Linked DNA regions of Ovis aries. The protein of the gene in region 3 interacts with the protein of the main gene of each other region in a biochemical or structural test. Links are inferred from orthologs where the notes say so. Each region holds a gene or a part of one and is shown on either strand. Other genes may lie near its edges.

What was found.
Region 1: the proteins of RET (region 3) and GRB10 form a complex in vitro, tested with the Homo sapiens proteins (2 studies listed by BioGRID). The link is inferred for Ovis aries from reciprocal best matches to the Homo sapiens genes RET and GRB10.
Region 2: the proteins of RET (region 3) and TLN1 interact in a surface display test, tested with the Homo sapiens proteins (2 studies listed by BioGRID and IntAct, with this or other methods). The link is inferred for Ovis aries from reciprocal best matches to the Homo sapiens genes RET and TLN1.

The regions. Positions count from the first base shown.
Region 1 is NC_056057.1:5,911,199-5,915,325, reverse strand, and holds the start of GRB10 (growth factor receptor-bound protein 10), read right to left. Parts: upstream 2,879-4,127; 5' UTR 2,450-2,878; exon of another isoform or gene 2,207-2,449; intron 1-2,206.
Region 2 is NC_056055.1:52,839,116-52,842,758, reverse strand, and holds part of TLN1 (talin-1), read right to left. Parts: intron 2,298-3,643; coding exon 2,112-2,297; intron 1,988-2,111; coding exon 1,880-1,987; intron 1,381-1,879; coding exon 1,275-1,380; intron 1,089-1,274; coding exon 964-1,088; intron 862-963; coding exon 736-861; intron 628-735; coding exon 565-627; intron 456-564; coding exon 273-455; intron 121-272; coding exon 1-120. UniProt on the Homo sapiens protein: High molecular weight cytoskeletal protein concentrated at regions of cell-matrix and cell-cell contacts. Involved in connections of major cytoskeletal structures to the plasma membrane.
Region 3 is NC_056078.1:12,821,185-12,824,827, reverse strand, and holds part of RET (proto-oncogene tyrosine-protein kinase receptor Ret), read right to left. Parts: coding exon of another isoform or gene 2,892-3,643; exon of another isoform or gene 2,523-2,891; intron 2,164-2,522; coding exon 1,900-2,163; intron 132-1,899; coding exon 1-131. Other genes in the region: ras GTPase-activating protein-binding protein 1-like, read left to right, coding at 2,892-3,643. UniProt on the Homo sapiens protein: Receptor tyrosine-protein kinase involved in numerous cellular mechanisms including cell proliferation, neuronal navigation, cell migration, and cell differentiation in response to glia cell line-derived growth family factors (GDNF, NRTN, ARTN, PSPN and GDF15).

The DNA.
Region 1 (4,127 bases), on a different chromosome or scaffold from region 3:
ACCAAACAGAGAAGGTGGGAGAACAGACAGCTCCCCAGAAACGTGCCATGAAGTAGTAACACAATGTAAAAGCCAGCCAGCGCCTGAACGGGTGCGATCAGTTTTACACCCGTTGGTACAAAGACCTTGTTGACGGTTCCCAGGTCCCCAAAGCACCCATTTGCCCACCAAGTCACTTGTCTGTTCTAACATCTTCCTTAATCTCCCAAACGCCCAGTTAAGCAAAAGATAAAGACAGGTGAAATAAAGTCTCAACAAGCAGAAAAAGTTTTAGTGAAATTATGAACATATGACTGACTACATACATGAAAAGCAAAACAAATGTTTTCTCTTTATAGATCCACATGATTCCACGTTGGTTTGACAGCATGAGAAACTGACAAAGGCATCACACCCCAAGCCGTGAACACACACACTTCCTCCCACGAAGCAGGACAGAACTCGCTACAGTCAGTGTCAGAGTTCCGACAGGCGGACCAGCCCACCACCACGCGTGGCTCTTTTCACCAGCGGTTAAGAGTTGGACCGAATTCCAAGGAAATAAGTTCCTTAAACTATGTCATCTTGAAACTTTTATCAGCTATACCAACCTAGAATTTCTAAAGCTGTAAGAGGAAGGTAAAGGCACAGCGGATGTCTTTGTTCATGCAGGAGCTTGGTTTCTATACATTGTCAAGACTTAGAACAGCCTCATCATCCAAATCAAAAGTTCAAGAGTCTGGCTTTGTTCCCCTCTCCTGTTTGAGGCTCAGTGGCCACAGAGATGGTCACTGTGACTGGGCCAGGGCTGTCCAGGTTCCGATCCTGGCAGCTACCACGCTACAAGCCCTGGCATGAATCTGCCCAGCTCCAGGTTCCTAGTCCACAATGAAAGGCATTTTGCCCAGTCCAAAAGCTACACACACCACAGGCAATACGCTCTAGATGATTTTAGCGGGGCACAGCTTTTATTAAAACACAGTTCTTATTACAGTAAACATAACCACCATATCAGACTCATGACTCTGTGGTATCAAAATTTCCTTCCAAAACAAATTCGTATCTAAGCACAAAAAGTGAGCGGAGAAAAGAAAACACTGATAATAGCCTAGTGATAGGGCAGGTATCCAGGAGCCACGGGAATGGGAACAGAGTCTGCCGGTTCTCCGGGTGTCTGACCAGCCCAGGGACGCTCCTAGGCCATTTCTCTTTCAGATGCACAGAAGCATGAACCACAGACAACTGGGAAAAAACAAACAAAAAAAAGAACCCAAAGCTTAGGATCTGGTGACAGCTTTGGCATTTGCCAGCCATGTGATCGGACATGCATTTGTTAACCTCCTGAGCCTGGGTTTGTGCGTGTCTGATTCTTTGCCACCCCACGGACTAGCCCACCTCCTTGGTCCATGGGATTCTCTAGGCAAGAATACAGGACTGGGCTGCCATTTCCTACTCCAAGGGATCTTCCTGAATCAGGGGCCAAACCTGAGTCTCTTATATCCATCTCCTGCATTACTTGGTGGGTTCTTTACCACTAGCGCCACCTGAAAGCCCAAGCCTCAATTTCCAAACCTGTAAAATGGGGAGCAGGAGGCTGCAGAGGATTAAAAGTAATCAGGCTTTGAACGTGTGCCATAGACAGTGAAATGCCACACAAGTATCCCTTGCTGCACTTCTCAGTTACTTCTCAGTTGCTGGGTGTGTGACTGTCCTCAAATTCCCTCCCCGAGACCTGGGGGTTGGCCTGTGTGGCCATCTCTTTCAAATGTTTCCAGTAAAACTCAAATATTATATGCAATAATCCTAGAATTCTGATTCTTAACCGGAAAACCTAGTCATCTAGAATCATTCCTGGAAACACTTCGGTTTCAGAGCTTTTTTCCTAACAAAATACTTAACCTAAAAGACACCACCATCGCCAGAAGTCAGAACTTCTTTTGCCACAGAAACCTAGAACCTATCTATTTTTCCTCCTGGAAAGAACGAAGGAATCAGCGAGTCAACTCATGAAAAACGTCCGACTTGGTGCTGTAAACCCTAGTCAACGCCTGTTGCTGTGTTAACATGTGTTCTTAGTAAAACTGAGCGAAACGTTAGAGAAAGCACCACTTTGGAAACTCGGGGGCTCCGAACCGCTGAATCAGCATTTCCAGAAACAAAGTGTTCTGGGTTAGGCCTTGTAAACAGCAGCAAAGAGCAAGTTGTGCAACAACGCGTGTTTACTCACTAGCGCTACTTGTTTGGGTCTTTTCTCCGCATCTCTTGAATGAAGCTGGGGACAACATTTGCAAGAAAGCTTTCTCTCCAACGAATGCATCAGAAAGATCCGGGCCCGGGCAAAGTCACCTGTGGCTTCCCTACGTGACCCACCGTCTCACCGAGGCAAATGACAGAAACTTGGCGTGTCTTCCAACCCCAAGACAAGAAAAACACAATAAAAAGTAGAGAATGTCTCATTTCCATAACGCACATGCTCCAGGGCCGTCCTCAGGCAGGCGCGGGGAGAGGCGATCCGGAGGCCGAGAGTTGCATCAGAATCGCCTTCGGAGAACCGCACAGCTCTTATCACATTTCCCCGGCTGGCGGGCCGCTAACCCGCGAACCCTCGACTTGGGGTTAGGCCCCGGGGGAGGGGAAACGGGTCGCCAGCAGAACCAAAGGGAAAGATCCCAGGATCTGGCTCGCTCCAGCTCCTGAGGGTCCGGCCCCACCGCGCGAGCACGGGCGCACCGGGGGCTGCAGGGGCGCGCGGCGCCCACCCTCCAGGCGATCCGGGAGCGCGGCCTTGGCCCCGACCGCCCGGCGGCGCAGCCCCCACCCCGGCCCGGCCAGTGAGCCGCCGGCGTCGGACAGGAGGGCTCCAGAGGGCGCCGCCCGGGCTCCCCGGCTCCGCGGGGTCGCCGACGCCGAGCGCCGCGCCCGGTCCCCGCCCTCGCGCGCCGCAGCCCCCGGCCCGAGGCGACGCCCTTCCGCCCGCCGCGCCCCCGCGGCGCCCGGCGTCCCCGGCCCGGGCGGCCCGCGCGCAGACAATGACGCCGGGACTGCAGCCCGCCCGCCCGCCGGCCACAAAGTAACTTGGCGCCTCGCTCGCCGCCCAACTCCCTACCTGCCACGGCGCCGTTCGCTGCCGCCTCCGCCTGGCCGCCCGCGCCCCTCGGCGCGGCCGGGGCGGCGCGGGTCCCGCGGGGCAAGGGCGGCGCGCAGGGCGGTCCCGACCCCCGCGTGCCGCCGCCCGGGGACCGCGCGCAAACTTTGGCTCCGCGGCTTCCGAGCGCCCGCCCGCCGCGGCGCGCCGCTCGCGCTCCTTCCTGCCGCCTCCCGGCCTCCCCACCCCCTCGATGGGCTTTAAACCCGCCCGGCCCCGCCCGCCGCCGCCGCCGCCGCCGCCGCCTCCGCCTCCGCCGCCTCCGCCTCCTCCCCCGGTCGCTTTTCCTGCTCCTCCTCCCGCCGCCGCCGCTGCTGCCACCGCAGCCCGGACCGCTCGGGGCCGCCAGCGCGGGCAGGGCCGCGGCCTGGGCGCAGGGCGGGTCGCGGAGGGAGCTCGGGGAGCCGGCGGGGTGCGGCGCCGGGCGCGGGGCCGGGCGCTCCCGCAGGTCGCTGCTGCCGGGGGCTGGCACGGGGGACTGGAAGCCGGCAGCTGGGCGTGGGCGCCCGGACCCCTGGTCCCGCTCTTGGGACTCGCGGACGTAGAACCGCGACCACCCAGCCTGGAGCGCCCTCGAAACACACATCAGACCTCTCCTGGAAGGCAATTTGCAAGCGAATTCTTTGAAACTCAAGTTGAAACTGTGCGGCCCCATTCCCCGTCCCGGGCGCAGCGGGAAGACTGGACGGAGAAGCCTGAGGAGCGGCTGCTGCACTGGCTGTGCCTTGGGCGGCGGTTCCGCGTGGGACCGGGGAACCTGGGCTTCAGCGTCCGCCCGCCGCTGGCGGAGTCTGGAGCCTTGACCCCTCGTAGCCACAGTTTCCCTATCTGCGTACCCGCCCCGGAGCGCGCGTGGAGTGGGAGGCCCTGTTTATTTTCTGTATACCAACGGGCCTCAACGTCCTTAGCTTTGCAATAGGCTAATAAGCCCGCCTACGAGTAATGTCCTGAGGGTTAAATGAGATGTTAACTTGTAACATAAAGCGAAAGGTAAGAAGGAACC
Region 2 (3,643 bases), on a different chromosome or scaffold from region 3:
GCCCCCGACCATCTTCTCCTTCACTACCACGGTCTCATTCTCCTGTTCTTCAAAGGCTGCAGCCTTCTGGGCTGCCTTCACCAGGTTGTCTGAGGCTCGCTTCACTGCGTTGCCGGCAGCCTTGGCAGAGAGAGAGAGCAGGCAGTGTGAGATGAGAACTTGGGAAGGTCCCAGCTGAGCAAGGCCCCCATCTCCCTCGCAGAAAGCATGTCAGGGGTGACAGTTGAAAGCAGCTCAGCTCAAGGCACATGAGATGGGCCAGGGGGCCTCACCTGAAGCCTCTTCATTGCCTCAGAGTCCTGGTCGGCCTTGACCTTGCAGGCTACGAGGAGCTGGGCTGTGGAGGCGGCGACCTGCTTGGCCGATGAGATGAGCTTCTCCTGGCTGGCGTGGCCTTGGACAGCTGCATTGGCCGCCTCACACAGGTTGTTGGTGGCCGCGGCCACCATCCGGGCCTGAAGCAGGGAGATTAGGTTAGAACATGCCTCCTGCCCTGGTCCATCCCCTCTCCAGCCTCTCAAGTCCCTGAAGTGCAGAGGGGCACAGGGGCAGTTGTACACTCACAGCAGAGATGAGGCCCTGGGACCACTGTCCATCATCCAGTGCGTTGGCTGGAATGGCGCCCACCTGTGGAGGAGGGCAGGAGTCTGCTGAGACTTGTGCCCTCCTGAGAGCCTCCCGGAGGAGACCATCATGCCATGTGGAAGGCAAAGCTGCTGGTATTCAAGTCCTTACCTTCCCCTGGGCCACCAGTTCCCTCTGCGCAGCTGAGGCAGCCTTCACCAGGGCACTGGTGGCTGCTGCGATGGACTTGGCAGCTTCCAGTATCTGCTCCTCAAAGTTCAAGGACTCGTCCGCCTCCTGCAAAAAAGAGACAGAAGTGGCAGAGAGAGATGCAGGGTAAGGGGAGGCTGAAGGTGCAGACACTCTGAGCGGAGGGGAGAAGAAGGGAGCAGGGCTGACCTTGGGTTTGGCCCGGGGCTTCAGCTGCTCCAGCTTCTTGGCCGCAGCCTCAATGGCGGCCGCGGCTCCCAGGAGTTCATTCTCAGCAATGACTGTGGGGTCCTCTGGGTCCACCCATTCTGTTCCTGGTGGACAAAGCAAGGAGGGAAGGGGCTAAGGGAGATCAGGAGCACCGGGCAGTGTGCTTACTGTCACCAGGCCCTGGCATCTGTGAAGACTCTGCAGAGGCCATCTCTGAGCAGCCTCCCTGAAGCAGAGTTCTCCCCAGAACAAGGGTTTCCCTTCCCTCCCTGCCCCTGGTCACCCCTTACCCTTCATGGCCTCAGCAGCCTGGATGAGTTCAGTGACTGATCCAGCCACACGCTTTGAGTGCACTGTCAATTGCTGCTTCAATTCTGGGCTTGGCTTCTGCAGGGTCTGGGGAAGAGGGGGCAGGGGGCAGAGAGCATCAGATCTCAGCTTCTACCTTGACCCTTGAAACAGGGGAGAGCCCGCCCCCTCCCGCCACCCCTACCCCAGGCCTCTCCACACCACAGCCTGAAACAGTACACAGTCTATCCAGGAGCACGCCAGACATCACATTGCATGCATGGTGAAGACAGTGAGGCTATGTGTCACTCACCAGCTGACAAGGAGCCAGGAGAAGGATGAAATGAGAAGAAAGAAGAGATGAGGAGGTAGAGGAGGGAGAGGGCAGGCGGGAAGAGAGGAGACAAGAGAAAGAGGAGGAGGTGAGTAGGAGAACCAAAGATGCTCAAACTGATGGAGCTCCAGAGGAAGGGAGATGTGGAAACAAGAACATACTCGGGGAACAGATGGGGGGTGGGGAGGAGATCTGAACCAAAGATTAGAGTGCAGGCCTGAGGCCTGTGTATTCAGGGAGGCCGCTGTGAGGAACAGACACCTCCCGCCTTACCAGCAGCACGTGGTCCAGCAGTTCCAGGTAGCCATTGGCACATTCCTGGCCAAAGTGTAGGGCTCGGAGCCGCACGTCTGGAGCCACTTCCGGGTGGTAGGCGGCTTCCTGTAGCACAGAGTATACATTAGCCTTAGGATCCCAAAGAGCTCCCAAGTCCCTGCAGGTTCTCCCCTACCATGTGCTGCCCTCAAGCTGCCTTACACTCCTGCCTCACCGCCGGGATTTCTACCTTGCAAGCCCGGAGCATATCTGCAATAGCACGGCGACTCAGATTGGCTGTGGCGATGACATCCTCCTGGCGACAGGAGTTCCCAGCGGCAACGGCCTTGGCGGTTGCCATGGTGATACCCTTGGTCATGCGGATGAAATCTTCAGGGGTAGAGGTCTTGGCAGGTGGCTCTGGGGAGCAGAAGACCTGTTGGGGTAGAGCAAGAAGAAAAACTCCACGGTGAGGGAGGCTGTGAGATGGTGCAGCACTTGTGTGACTGGTTCATTCATCTGCGTACTCAGTCAACAAGCAGCCACTGAGTAGTTACTGTAGATCAGCGCTAGGAGACTTTCACACGTTCACAGCTAATACAACAGAAGGCAGTTGGTCCTCATTTCTGACTAAAGTGATTGGGGAAAGTGTATTTGAAATTAAGCAAGTACCTTTGTGCTGGCTTTTCATTCCTAAAGAGAAGTCTTAATGTGGCAAGTGGTGAAGGTGGGTAAGGAGCTGGGTCTTAAGGATACAGATAACAGGAGTGCACTGACATAGTAGCAGAGCACAAATAACCAGGATGTCAAGTGTGAGAGAGTATTAAGAAATGTTCTAGAGCACAGGGATGGCAGAGAAAAGGCTGTTGGGACCTTGGATATCAGAACAAGGAACTTAGAATTTTACACAGTATGTAAAAGTCATAAAAATATTTTGCTGTATGTGTTCACCCAACAAATTCAATCCCACTAAAGATCAGCTAGGTGGGAGACTACGTGAGGTGCTGAGGGTGCAGCGGGGAATAAGCTAGACAAGGTCCTGTCCTCATGGACCTTACATTCTGGTTTTGGGTACAAATGATAAATAGGTGAATGAGCAGGGAAACTACACTGTGAAGGGGAAAAAGGGTGCTGTGATGAGAAAGAAAAAGGAAGTTCTTTTTTAGAAAGGTGGTCAAGGAAGCTTCTGGCAGAGGGGATGTTTAAGCTGAAGCCTGAAGGATCAGAAGGGGCCAGATGTTCAAAAAACTGGTAAAGAGTAAGAACAAGGGTCTGCAGTGGGTGGAGCTGAGACTGCAGGGGCCTGGCCCCTGGCCCGGAGGAGAGAAGGGTGAGGAGAGACTGGGGAAGGCAGCAGGGGCCCTGGAGCCTGGAAGGCCCTGGTGTGGAGAGCGGACTTTACCAAAGATGCCAGGGCAGTCACTGGAGGATTGTAAGCACTGAAGTGACATAACCTGATTTATATTTTTAAGAGATTATTCTGGGAATTCCCTGGCGGTCCAGAGGTTAGGACTCAGCACTTTCACTGCCATGGCCCTGGGTTGAATCCCTGATTGAAGAGCTAAGATCCCACAAGCTGCATGGTGAGGCGCCCCCCCACCCCCCAAAAAATTATCCTGTGTTGAGAGGATTGACTGGGGAGGGGGAGGTAAGTGGAGAAGCAGGGAGTTTACACAGATGCTGTCACATAAACACAGCTAAGGCCTGATGATGGTTTTGACAAGGTGCTGGTAGCAGAGATGGGAAATGAGAAATTGAGGTCTATTTGGAGGGGCCACTAAA
Region 3 (3,643 bases):
AGCCGGGAAGGAGGCATTGATAACGGAGAAGTACACTCGGGCACAGCCCGGCCACTGGCACTCGGCCTCACGAAGGGACGCGGGTGACAGGAAGACCCGGAGATAGACGGTAAGCAGTGGGAAGCCGCCGTCTGCAGAGAGACAAGTCAGGCCCCACCGGGGCGTCAGCCACACCTGCCTAGCTGGGACCTGAATGGGGAGAGGGCAGAAGCTCGGGGCTGGTGCAAAGCCTAGTTCTCACCAAGGCCTGCAGGGCTCTGCTGGGCACCCCGCCCTGGCCTCCACCTCCTGCTTGCCCCGCTACGGCCCTGGACTTGGGATCTGGCAGCCTCAGGGCCCTGAGGCTCTGCTCCCTTGTCTGGGGGTGCCTCACAGGCCCACCTCTCTGGTTATTCTGAGTTTCAGTTCAAATACCCTTCCTCAGAGAGGTGCCCTGAGCCCTGGGTCTAAGATGGAGCCCTTCCCCAAGGAGGGCTCTTGGCACCTCAGGCGACCTCCCTTCTCTCCCTCACCCACTGCCCCAGGCACTTTCTTTCTTTTCTCACTTTTAAAAACACTACAGGGGTGGGATTGGGTGGCAGGTGGGAGAGAGTTTCAGGAGGGAGGGGACGTATGTATACCTGTGGCTGATTCATTGTGATGTATGGCAGAAGCCAACACAATATTGTAAAGTAATTATCCCTCAATTAAAAATAAATAGAAATAAAACACTTATTCTATTCTATTTTTGCCCGTGCTGCTGCTTGTGGGATCTTAGTCCCCTGACCAGGGACTGAACCCAGGACCTCAACAATGAACGTGCAGAGTCCTAACCACTGGACCCAGGGAATACCATGCCACCCCTGCAGAGACACAGACTTCCCCAGCACCTCGAGAGGGGATTTCTGGCAAGTTCCATCATGGAGGCACTATAGCAAACCCCTCCAACCCGTCTGGATCTCAGCTGGGGCAGGGGCTCTTCCTGGGCCTTCTATCTCAGCCCTAGGGAAGTGTCCCCGCCTCACATCTGCTCCTCCCATATTCATCAGTCCTTGCTTCTCCCTAGCCTGTCCTCTGTTGCTCCAGTTCCCTGCTGTGGTTAATAATTCTCCATGTAAACTTTCTCTGTTCTAATTACCATGATTTCTCTCCTGACTAGAGCTGGCAGGTGCATGAGGACAGAACACGCCTCCTATGAAACTCAGACCCTCGGCAAATTCCACTCTGGCAGTACTGTTCACAGCACAGTGCCTGGCTCTCAGCACTCACAGGAGTTCAGGGCTGGCGTGAGGGTCCAGGGAGGCCCCGTCTGTGGAGCAGGAGGTGGGGCTGTGATCACCATTTGGTGCCGCAAGGCAGCACTCTGCTCCACAAACACCCTCCTCCCAGTGCCAGGGCTGCACGTGGGCTTCGCTCCAGCTTGGACCCCTGCTCTGAGCAGCCGGCCAGGCCTTCCTCCTGTCCACTTTCCTCCCTGGCACCAGGCCCCAGTCCTCACCAGGTGCCAAGGACAGCCTGCTGCTGACGGCAAGGTGGGTTCTCCGTGCAAACAGCTGCTTCTCCACCAAGTTCCAGACCATCCGCTAAATCAACATCTTGGGACTTTTCTAGCCTTTCTTAACTCTTCTCTCACAACCCCACATCTCTGTTAATCCAACTAGAAAAGACATTTGGAGCCAGCACGGAGTGAGCCCCTCAAGTCCTACACATAAGTTCTCCAAAATCCCAACAGCCTCAGAAGGCCTGAGGGTCCTCAGTGGTCCTCAAGCTCATCCTGGCTCCCTCACGGGCTGAACAAAGAGGACAGCCCCACCTCACTCCCTAGGAACTGTGTGATGGGCGCTGAGGAGGGACAAGGAGAGGGCAGGGCAGGGCGTGGGCAGTGAGGCGTGTGGGGGTGGGGTCAGGGCCCCCCCTTACTGCGGATGTTGAGCTTCTCCCAGGAGCTGTGGTCCAGGCTCTGGTTAAGGTAGAGAAGCCCCGTGTCCTCCTGGATGCGGACCCAGTCGTTCTCGTGCAGCCGCGTGCGGTAGGCGCCATAGAGGTGCTGGCCCAGGCGGAAGCTGGGCACCTCCTCCGGCACATCCCGCAGGGCGTGGACATAGAGCAGGGGCGTGCCGGCTGGCTGGTCCACGTATAGCTTCTCCCAGTAAGCGTCCCTGGAGAAGTAGAGTCCCAGCGGGGCTGTGGGAGGCAGGGAAACACGTGAGGGAGGGAGGGAGGGAAGACCACGGTGATCGAGACGGCAAAGCCCAGCAGCCCTCCCAGGCAGATCAGCTTTCCCAGCGGCTTGACTTCACATTTTAGTAATAGCTTCCTTGTGGGCCAAAAAGAAAACCTTACTAATTTAAAATTCTGATCTAAGTAGGTCTTTCTCGTCTGTAGTCCTAAGAACATCAACACACAGTTATCTGTAGAGCTAAACACTAGCTGCAAATACACTGCTTTAAAACAGAAAAAGGAGGGCACGGGCGCGCGGCGACTCTCCGCCTCCCGCCCCCACTGGCCCGGCGCGCGTGGCCGTGTCCGCGTCCGCCGCGTGCGCGTGCCGCGCCCAACGGCCACGCGGGGCGGGGGCGAGCCGCGGCCGCCGCCCGGGCCTCAGGGTGATCTTGGGGGCCTGGGGCCCCGCGCGGCCGGATCGTCAGCTTTTCCCGTTCGCTTTCCCCGCGCGCTAGCGAGGCCTTCCTCCTTTGGTGGGGGCTCCTCCTAGACCAGAGGAGGCTTTTCTTTGATGGTGGTGGTGGTGCGGGAGGGGGGAGGTGAGGCACGGAAGTGCGGTGAGAATTTTTCGACACTGGAAGCCGAAATGCTGCTCCTAGGTTTTCGAATTTTTTTACAGGGAGTAAAGGGGCAGCGAGTTCATGGGTATTGAGTGATGATAATAACTAACATTTTTCTAAGCCCTCACTATGTGCCAGGCACTGTGCGGAGCAACTTGTGTTTCTTCTTTACTCCTGAAACGCCCCGATGAGGCTGAATTGACCAAAGCAATGGTTATGGAGAAGCCTAGTCCCCTGCTGGTCGGGCGGGAATTTGTGAGACAGTATTATACACTGTTGAACCAGGCCCCAGACATGCTACACAGGTTTTATGGAAAGAACTCTTCTTATGTCCATGGGGGATTGGATTCAAACGGAAAGCCAGCAGATGCCGTCTATGGACAGAAAGAAATCCACAGGAAAGTGATGTCACAAAACTTCACCAATTGCCACACTAAGATCCGCCACGTTGATGCTCATGCTACTCTGAATGACGGTGTGGTGGTCCAGGTGATGGGCTTGCTCTCTAATAACAACCAGGCTTTAAGGAGATTCATGCAGACCTTTGTCCTTGCTCCTGAGGGCTCTGTTGCAAATAAGTTCTATGTTCACAACGATATCTTCAGATACCAAGATGAAGTCTTTGGTGGCTTCATCACTGAACCTCAGGAGGAATCTGAAGAAGAAGTAGAGGAGCCTGAAGAAAGACAGCAGACACCTGAGGTGGTACCTGATGATTCTGGAACTTTTTATGATCAAACTGTCAGCAATGACTTAGAAGAACATTTAGAAGAAGCTGTTGCTGAACCAGAGCCTGAACCGGAACCAGGACCAGAGCAGGAACCTGTATCTGAAGTCCAGGAGGAAAAGTCTGAGCCAGTATTGGAAGAAACTGCTCCTGA